2 linked regions of the Caenorhabditis elegans genome follow. The protein of the gene in region 1 interacts with the protein of each later gene in a pairwise test. Each region holds a gene or a part of one and is shown on either strand. Other genes may lie near its edges.

Evidence for each region.
Region 2: the proteins of Y52E8A.2 (region 1) and zip-12 interact in a two-hybrid assay, tested with the Caenorhabditis elegans proteins (one large-scale study listed by BioGRID).

Annotation. Positions count from the first base shown.
Region 1 is NC_003280.10:4,318,933-4,322,351, reverse strand, and holds Y52E8A.2 (RING-type domain-containing protein), read right to left. Parts: upstream 1,517-3,419; 5' UTR 1,498-1,516; coding exon 1,409-1,497; intron 1,360-1,408; coding exon 957-1,359; intron 904-956; coding exon 817-903; 3' UTR 735-816; downstream 1-734. Other genes in the region: Y52E8A.1 (RNA helicase), read right to left, coding at 1-60, 107-286; Y52E8A.6 (UNC93-like protein MFSD11), read left to right, coding at 2,383-2,540, 2,590-2,777, 2,824-2,920, 2,965-3,040, 3,089-3,212.
Region 2 is NC_003281.10:12,325,842-12,333,042, forward strand, and holds zip-12 (BZIP domain-containing protein), read left to right. Parts: upstream 1-1,825; 5' UTR 1,826-2,105; coding exon of another isoform or gene 2,106-2,144; intron 2,145-3,622; 5' UTR 3,623-3,623; coding exon 3,624-3,971; intron 3,972-4,731; coding exon 4,732-5,031; intron 5,032-5,823; coding exon 5,824-5,976; intron 5,977-6,199; coding exon 6,200-6,421; 3' UTR 6,422-6,433; downstream 6,434-7,201.

The DNA.
Region 1 (3,419 bases):
AAGAACCTTGGCGATGCCATTTGAGATTGTAATATGGCATCCAAAATGTTGACTGGATGTCTGAAAAAATCTGTATAAGTATACTGGATGTGTTCGGGATGTATACCTTGTTAATTACAACAGTAAGAATTTCATGCTCCGGGACCGGCTCCGGTTCCTCGCTTCCTTCGAGAATTTTTGGAATACAAGCCGCCTGAACCGGCGTCGCAGTTTTAATTTGCATAGTTTCGAGCTGTTGGTTGATCCAGGAGCACACGCCGAGCTGGGAGAATTTCTTAGTTGTCATGTTGTCTTCGGAGATTTGAATGGGCTTTGGGGTGTCATCTGATGACTTGAATTCATCGCCTTCTTCTCCATCGGATTTTTCTTTATCTGAAACTTAGTTTTTCCTCGCCCTTGACAGCTTCTTCAATTTCCTCAAAATCTTCATTTTTCACGTTTCCTGAGCTAGGAGGCTCTTCCTGTTCTTCATTCATCTCCAAATCATCATCATTGTCCGGTAGAATTGCGTCTGGCATGATTTTGGCTGTAAATTCATAGAATGTTCGAGTTTTTTTTATTTTTAATTTTTTTGTAAAAATTAATTTTTCGTTTTTTCTCAATTTTTTGTCCGAAAAAAAATAAGAAAAGTTCGAATTTCTGTGTTTTTTAAGGCGATTGAATTTATGCAAGTCAAGTTCAGTCGACATCCCGAAAAATTCTGATCGACGTCGAAACCACTCCAAAAGCTATGTTATAGTTTTATTACAACTGTAATTATTAAAAAGCAAAACGAATTACACATGAAATTATTGAAAAATTAATTAAAACGAGGTATTAAAGAGATGGAAATTCCGTTGGATCCAGCATCCCTCGATTACAAGCTGGACAAACGCTCTTTTCCTTGAACCATTGGGAAGCGCACTGAAAATTTTGAAATTTATTTATGAAAAGGTTTTTGAAATGAATAATCTTACATCGAGATGAAACCGACGTCTACACGAATTGCATTTGATAGTTTTTTCAGTCGAAATAACGTCGTCCAGACAGATAAGGCATCGAGCATCTGATAGCTCGGCGCTAGAGCTTGAAATTGATGAAGAAAAGGAGACTGACGGGATGGATCCTTTTTCGCTGGAGGTTGAAGCTTTGAGCTTCTCTGCGCCATTCAGAAGAGCTTTTTCATATTCTTGCATAAACGAATCCGAGAAGGATGGAAATTCCGGAAGCTTCTTGAGCTGAATTCGAGTAGAATTGTCGTTTGACATCAGAATCTCTTCAATATTCTCATCCAACACTAGCATGAAATTCTGGAATGCTCGATTGAACTTGATCAGCTCGTATTTCGCGGCACGCATCGTAACTTCATCTGCCGATAGTCTGAAAAATACAAATTAAAATTTTAGTTGAATGCCGTAATTAAAAATACCTGGCGACAAGTTCCGCGGCTCGTCGCATTGGATTTTCCTTCAAAATCAAATTCCTCGTCGATTCTAGGCCTTCCAACGTGTTTACCATGATTTCCAATCGATAAACTCTAAAACTTAATATATTCTGGGAAAAATAATATTTTTAAAACCAGTTAACGACAAAATCACACAGAGAAAGCTGCACAATTCAGAAAAGATCCGAAAAATCGATAAATCCAGCGTGGCAAACAAAACGTGGGCCTACCGTACCGCTTCAAGGGACATGGTATAATTCTTGCACGGGTTTCGCAACGATTGAGTAGTTAATTAATTTAAATGGAGGTAAAATTAAGAATTTCGAATTTGTTGAATAATTTATATATTTTTCAATATTATTTCCAAAAAAAAAACAAATAAAATAAGGAAAATTTGAATTTAATTGACATCTTTCTGAACGAAAAAGCCAAAGCGGAAATTAAATCCTACCGTACCCATTTTTAAAGGCGCACAAAGTTTTATCGGGCCAAGATCCCGCCGCGTCTTTGAAATTTCCAGGCACAGAATTAAAAATAAAAGAGGTTTTAAGAGGAAACCACATGTTGAAAAAGGTTTATTTACAATTCCAAAAAAAACACTTTTATAGTAAAAATACAATTACTTGATGCTTGGCTGTGTTAGTTCCTCGTTTCGATACATATTGACGGTTTTTGAACAAGTTTCTCGAATTGAACGTTCCAAATTAAAGGGAATTATGCAAATTTCTGGATTATTCGGAAAAAAGTTTCACTGATGACTGAAAAAGGAGAAGAATAATATTGTTGGATAGTATAAAAAATGACAAAAAGTAGAGTGCCTAGTTTTTGTCTTTGTCATAAACCTTTGATATTTTTTCCAAGTCATAAATTATTTTTTTTCAAGTTTCTTTTTTTTGAAACTTTGTTTCAAATTTGTAGTTTTTACAGGAATAAAAATCTAGAGGCTTCCGATTTCGGATATGGCTATTGACCAAGGGACGAAAAATGTGCTCCGACTATCGATTTCATTTTTGCTCCTATTTTTTGCTTATATGAGTCAAGAATACATACAAGAACCACTTATCGAGGAAAAGCATAAAACCGGTGGGAATATTGATCCTCACGCCGGTTATCATAGGTTTGTCTCTTCTATATGGTCACTTTTTCAAAAGCAAAACTGATTTTAGTTTTGCTATAACTTACTTCTTTTTCACACTTTCTTGCCTATTTGTTGCTCCAATAATTGATAAGATTTCCGCGAAATGGGGAATGGTTCTGAGATTTTCGGCATATATTGCATTTCAATATGGATTTATACATATGAATACTTATTATGTGTACATTACTTCAGCGAGTTTGGGTGTCGGTGGTGCTTGTAAGTATGAATCAGGAGGGCTTCGCAAATGTTCTGAAACTTTCAGTCATATGGGTTGGCCAGGGAAAATATCTGACGGAAAACTGCACAAGTGAAACTATTGAACGAAATATTGCTCTGACTTGGTTCATTTTTAAGTTCTGGTGAGTACTTCCATCAATTCTCTGTACCATTTTGATTTTTCAAGCCTCCTCGGTGGTGGAATATTTCTCTACGTTCTGTTCTACAATCAAAAAATGAACGAATTTCTGGAATCTGGAGATGTATTGTATTTCCAACATCCATCTGTTTCTAATTCTGCCAATTTTCAGTACAAAACATTCGTCTATATCTGTTGTTCCATTTCTCTATTGGCGGCGATTAACACGGCATTTCTGCCACAATCAGTGTATGTTCCGGAGAGAAAGAAGCATGAGACGTTCGCGAAGACATTGAGTGAGTTTATGGTAGGTCGCCTTTATGCCTGCCTGCCTACCACCTAATCTAAATTGAGTGTGAGCACAATGTCACTGACTGAAGATTATTTCATTTTGACTGTTAATGAAAGTTCAGCTGCTCGGCAGTAGGCACATATACAGCCCATCATCGGGCAGGCGTAGGTTGTCAGGGAAGTAGGCAGATTTTTTTTGCTTTTTGCCTGCC
Region 2 (7,201 bases), on another chromosome or scaffold:
ATATATTCATAGAATTTACGGACTTTCCAAAATAGATGAAGGGTCATTTCTAGGGTGTGTACAATTTTGCCAATCAAAATTGAAATTCTGAAATTTCCAAAACAAAATTTGCTAAACCACAATTTGGCCGTTTTTCTGGCAAATCGGCAATTCGCCGGTTTGCCGATTTGACGGACATTTTCAATTCCGACAACTTGCCGATTTTCCGGAAATTTGCATGGGCCGCTATTTTTGATAAATTTAGTGAATTCTAGAAAAAAAACTGGAAAACTGGATGCAATATGATAATAAAACTTGATGAAAAAAAGCTTTTTTAGGTTGGTCAATCTATAAAATATTGAAATTCCTATTAAAACGAAAGATTTTGAAAACTAGTTTTCCTACTACTAAAGATTACTTCACCCTTTAAATTTAAAAAACTGAAAAGTCCTCGAAAATTTTTTTAAAGGTTTACATTTTTTTTCGAGCAGTTTCAACTTCCAGATAAACTTTCAGCACTTTTTCAGTTTTTCCAATCCAAATTATAGTTGTTTTCAATCAAATCAAATACTTTTCTATACTTTATCATTAAATGTAGACTTGGAAAACACATTTCAAATCGGCAAGTTGCTGGAATTAAAAATTTCCGGCAAATCGGCAAATCGGCAAAATGTCTTTTTGCCGAATTGGCCAGAAAAACGGCAATTGCCGGATTTGAAAATTTACAGCATATCGGCAAATTGGCAAATCGTCTATTTGCCGGATTGAAAAACTGCAATAGCCGGAAATTTTTGTCAAAATAAAAAAGCAAGTTCTATGAAAATATCTAAACATAACAGGAAACGAATTTTTCAAAAAGGCACAGTTTTAAGTGTTTCCGTCTTTAAAAAAACCCCTCTAAAAATTTCCGGCAAATCTGATATCCGGCAAATGGCAACTCGGCAAATTGCCGTAATTTTTTTTTGGCAAATCAGAAAATTGCCGGAACTGAAAATTCCTGGAAAATCGGCAAATTGTCGTAACTGAAAATTTCCGGCAAATCGGCAAATTGCCGGAACTGAACGTTTCCGACAAATCGGCAATTTGTCTAAAACAAAAATTTCCGGCAAACCGGCAAATTGTCGAAAATGAAAATTTCCACTTCAACAATGAAACATTTTTCCTGTAGGCTTCAGACAAAAATTATATTTCGTCCTTTAATCCTTTTTTAATCAGGTTTCACTTCACTGTGAATCTAATGAATTATATTATTAAAACTGAAAATTCCGAGAATTCATTTGGATAAATTCTAAAATCAGGGTTTCAACTACCAAAATATTACATGGATTCTGCTCAAGAATACATTGTTCTTCATTTTTTCAAACCTTTCTCGAGCCACAGAACCGCTTTTGCTACATGTCCTGGAAAGATTTATCTTTCATTTTTCGCTGTAATGCTTCATTGTAATGCTTCATTGCGTCCCATTTCGGTTTGATCTACAAAAATTGCGGGGAAAGAGACGCAGAGTTCTCAACTGATTTTGCATGGTTAAGAACGTGCTGACGTCACATATTTTTGGGCGAAAAATTCCCGCATTTTTTGTAGATCAAACCGTAATGGGACAGCCTAGCACCACGTGATGCTTCTGAAATTTGGTTTTGGAATGGGTTTCTATAGATACCTTTTTTCAGCTTTTGATATGCCTTTCCAACCCATTTTTATACAATATAATACCTAATTAATCTGTCAATTGCATTTACATCCATCGAATGTACAATTGCGATGTATTGGAAATTACAGCAATCAGTGCCCATCCCCCATCAACAGTCTCTTATCAATCTTGCTAATCACCTTCACTGTCCCCCCCCCCCCCCACTGTCTCAACCACTGCTCAGATACCAAGTATGTCGCACAGTATTTCCTACTCTGTTTTCTCTAAGGCTCTCACATCTTTCCTCTGACTATTTCTCATTTTTTTGATGCTGCCCTCCTCCTCTATTCAATACAATCAAACGATGTCATGATGCAGGCAAACATCATGCATTCACTGTCTTCACTCTTCTTAGCAAGAAGTTGTGTTCTCTTATCACACACACACACACACACACACTGTCTCCCCCACCATTGGTCTCTTGCCTTTTTTTTGACTGACAACGACGATTTTGAATCTAAGGAACTGGGGATAGGTATGTTTTGAAATTTTGGTTAGGAAAATATGGAAGGATCAAGCTCCGCCCTTGATGATTACTGTAGATTCCTGAATGCATCAGTGAGTTCACGATGGGCATCAGGGCTCTTACATTAGGGGCCAAATTGCCGAAGTTCCGAAGTTTCCGCAACCAGAAGCTGCCGGTTGCAGAAACTTTGGCAATTGCCGGTTGCTGGCGACGTGTATGTATATCTCGCGTCCAAAACAGGGTGGGTGGCAATTGTCGTTTGGCGAAATCGGCAAGTCGGCAATTTGCCGGAATAAAAAATTACCGGCAAATCGGCAAATTGCCGGAATTAAAAATTTCCGGTAAATTGGCAAATTGCCGGAATTAACTATTTCCGGCAAATCGGGCATATCGGCAAATTGCCGGAATTAAAAATTTCCGGCAAATCGGAAAATTGCCGGAATTAACTATTTCCGGCAAATCGGGCATATCGGCAAATTGCCGGAATTAAAATTTCCGGCAAATCGGAAAATTGCCGGAATTAACTATTTCCGGCAAATCGGGCATATCGGCAAATTGCCGGAATTGAAAACTTCCGGAAAATCAGCAATATGTCGAAACTGAAATTTCCTTTAAATCGGTAAAATGCCGGAATTAAAATTCCCGGATGATCGGACAAATCGGCAAATTGCCGGACCTAAAAATTACCGGTAAATTGCCGGAATTAAAAAATTCCGGTAAATTGGCAAATTGCCGGAATTAACTATTTCCGGCAAATCGGGCATATCGGCAAATTGCCGGAATTAAAATTTCCGGCAAATCGGAAAATTGCCGGAATTGAAATTTCCTTTAAATCGGTAAAATGCCGGAATTAAAATTCCCGGATGATCGGACAAATCGGCAAATTGCCGGACCTAAAAATTACCGGTAAATTGCCGGAATTAAAAATTTCCGGCAAATCGGCAAAATGCCGGAACTGAAAATTTCCGGAAAATCGGCAAATTGCCGGAATTAAAATTTCCGGAAGATCGGTAAATTGCCGGAATTGAAATTTCCGGCAAATCGGGCAAATCCGCAAATTGCAGGAATTAAAAATTTCCGCCAAATCGGAAAAGCGGCAAACTGTCGATTTGCCGAAATTTCCGGAAAAACGCCTTTTGCCGAAAATGTTTGGCAAATTATGATTTTGCACTTTTTTTTTGGAAATTTCAAAATTTCAATTTTAATCGGCAAACTTTTTTCCTACATTAATGTTGAAAAATCCCTTTTAAAATTTCTGGCAAATCGGCAATTTGCCGAAAATCAAAATTTCTGGCAAATCGGCAAAATTAGTGTTTTGATAAGAATCAGCAAACTTTCTCATAAGTTCGTTACAAAAACAGTCGCGAACCAATAAGCGAAAGACGAGGAACCAATAAGCGAAAGACGATGCGAAAAATTTTTTAAAATGCACAATTGGGCCTGGCCCGAAAGTTTCAGACAAGACCAAAAAATTCCAAATTTTACAGAATGAATAACGAAACAAGTGGCAGTCGTGACATGATTCTAAAACACTTTGACTCCACGCAAAACAACCAGAATTCGGTAAAGCTGGAACACGAGTCGTCAGATAACAATGAATCGTCAGGCTCCCAGAACTTTGTATTCAACTTTTTAATGAGCCAACTGCAAAACATGGGTCCAGTGGAGATAAAACAAGAAGTAGAGGCGAAGATGTTGGATGATATAGAAGATGAGTACACTGATAATAATTACAATGAAGGCTACTCAAAGATGGATACAGATGGGGATTTGGAGTGGGAAGAGGAATTTAAGAAATTGAATAAAGATCCGAGTAAGATGGACAAGAGAGAACAGGTTTGTGTGGATTTTTTACAACTTCTAGTACAAAATTTAGGTTAGATGTACATGCCCGCCTAACGCCTATTTTTTGTAGTGTAGAAAAAGATTTGTTATATCTGAAAATAATTTCCAAATTTTTCTGAAAAGCCTCACTCAAATCAGGATAGCAATTGGGGCTCAGCAAATTTTTTTGTCGACGAATTTGGCAAATCGGCAAATTGATGGTTTGCCGATTTGCAAAAAATTATGATTTCCGGCAAAAAAAAACTGCCGATTTGCCGTTTGCCGGAAGTTTTCAATTCCGAAAATGTACCGATTTTCCGATTTGCCGGAAGCTTTAAATTCCGGCAGTTTGCTGATTTGCCGATTTGCTGGAAGTTTTCAATTCCTGAAACTTACCGATTTGCCGGAAATTTTCAATTCCATCGATTTTGCCGATTTGCCGGAAATTTTCAATTCCATCAATTTGCCGATTTGCCGGAAATTTTCAATTCCGGCAATTTTTCGATTTCCCAATTTTGCCCGAAAAAAATTTGCCGGAAAATTTGATTTTCAGCAAAAAAAAAATGCCGATTTGCCGGAAATTTTGCTTTTCCGCAATAAAACTGCCGATCTGCCGGAATTTTGATTTTCGGCAAAAAACTGCCGATTTGCCGGAATTTTGATTTTCGACAAAAAATGCCGATTTGCTGGAAATTTCAATATCGGCAATTTGCCAATTTGCCGGAAATTTCAACTTTGGCAAGAATATCAATTTTAAATCCAAATTATTCAGGAACGTCACCGTCAAATGGCCAAAAACCGTGAGTACGCCCGAAAGTGTGTTCAAAAGAAAAAAGATCAACGAAAGCATGCGGAAATTCGAAGTAATCAAATCAAAAAACGCATTCAACTTCTCAAAAATAAAACGGCGATAAAAGAGAAAAATGCGAATTTTGCAGTGGATTTGAGAAAAATGATGTCAGAAATTGGAGTAGAACGGCTGAAATTGGAATATGAAAATGAGAAAATGGAATTGAATAAGAAGTTTGCTGAAATGTTTGCACAGGATGAAACTGTTAATTTGAATTTTCATGTAGGTTTTTTCTCTAAATTTCAAAAAAAAAGTGACCAATTTGCCGAAAATTTATTTTGCCGGTTAGCCGATTTGCCAGAAATTTTCAATTCCGGCAATTTGTCGATTTGCCGGAAATTTTCAACTCCTGAAGTTTGACGATTTGCGGAAATTTTCAATTTACCGATTTGCCGGAATTTTTCAATTCCGGCAATTTGCCGATTTGCCGGGAATTTTCAATAACGGCAATTTTCCGATTTGCCAGAAATTATAAATTCCGGCAATATGCCGATTTGCCGGAAACTTTCAATACCGGCAATTTGTTGATTTGTCGAATTGCTGGAAATTTTTCAATTCCTGCAATTTGCCGATTTGCCGGAAATTTTCAATTCCATCAGTTTGCCGATTTGCCGGAAGTTTTCAATTTGCCGATTTGCCGGAAATTTTCAATTTGCCGGTTTGCCGGAATTTTTCAATTTGCCGTTTTGCCGAAAATTTTCAATTTGCCGATTTGCCGGAATTTTTCAATTTGCCGATTTGCCGATTTGTCAAAAAAATAGCGAATAAATAAAAAAGTCCTACTTTAGTTTGAGTTTTTTCAAAAATGCAAAACTGAGAACTGCGACCAATCAGCGATTTGCTCCGCCCACTTTTCCACCAATCAGATCGAGTGGGCGTAGTTCAAAGATGGTGATTGGTCGGGGAGTTCTCCTTAGTTTGTAAATCCCGTTTTTAAACTTTTTTTGTGGAATTTCTGAATTTCCGACTTTTTCTTTTGAAAAGTCAATTTTAAAATTATTAACCAAATTATAGAGGCTCGCCAGTGCTCGAGAAGAATTTGAAAAAGCTGCTGAAGACCTACGTCTAAAAAACGGAGTAATTGGGACTTTAGGTTCCCGAAAAATCCGAGCAAAGCAGCAAATGGAGTGGAGACAGCATTTGTATCAAATATCTGCACATGAACATGTTCGTTTATATAAATTCTTACCTGAAACAGTCAAAATGAAGAAAATCCCGTTAACTGAAACATTGGGGAGAATGCTCAAAAATTGGCCTAAATTAGCCTAAAGTTCTAGTTGAAAAAAATTTTATTTCGAGACGAATCATGTAATTTTAGTTCATTTTTTAGAATTTCCCAATAAAATTGTAAATTTTTCCAGAATATTTTTTTAAAAATAACTTATTACAGGAGCATCATCGTGAGACAAAACTTGCCGAGTTGGCAGACGAATATGTTAAGCAAACGGTACCAAAAGCTGCTCCCCTAGTCACCTCAATTCCTAAAGACATGTTAGATCAACTAATTAAAAACAATAAAACTTTGGATTTGGAAGAGCTGTGCCGTTTTGTTGCTGATAATTTGTGTTTGTTACAAAATGATAATGATGATAAAGAATCTGTTGTTAAATAAATTATGGAATTTATCCGATGGTTGTACTTTTTGAAAATGTGTTCTTATTCATTTATTCTCCTTGTAGTCTAAATATTTTTGCCGGAATGGAACATTTCCGGCAAGTTCGGCGAACCGGCAATTTGCCGGACTGGATATTTTCTGACAAGTTAGGCAAACCGGCAATTTTTCGGAATGGAAATTTTCTGTCAAACCAGCAAATTGCCGAATTTGTAAATTTCCGGCAAATCGACAAATTGCCGGAATTGAAATTTCCGGCAATTCGGCAATTTGACGGAAAGGAAAATTTCCGGCAAGTGCGGCAAATCGGCAATTTGCCGGAAAAAAACACTTCGGCAAGTTGTGGGTTTGCAAGTTTATTTTCTGGAAATTTCAGAATTTCAAAACGATAATCGCAACATTGCCATAATTGAATTTTCTGGCAAGTTAGGCAAACCGGCAATTTTTCGGAATGGAAATTTTCTGACAAGTTAGGTGAACCGGCAATTTTTCGGAATGGAAATTTTCTGGCAAGTTTGGCAAACCGGCAATTTTTCGGAATGGAAATTTTCTGGCAAGTTTGGCAAACAGGCAATTTTTCGGAATGGAAATTTTCTGACAAGTTAGGCAAACCGGCAATTTTTCGGAATGGAAATTTTCTGGCAAGTTAGGCAAACCGGCAATTTTTCGGAATGGAAATTTTCTGGCAAACCAGCAAATTGCCGAATTTGTAAATTTCCGGCAAATCGACAAATTGCCGGAATTGAAATTTCCGGCAAATCGATAAATTGCCGGAATTGA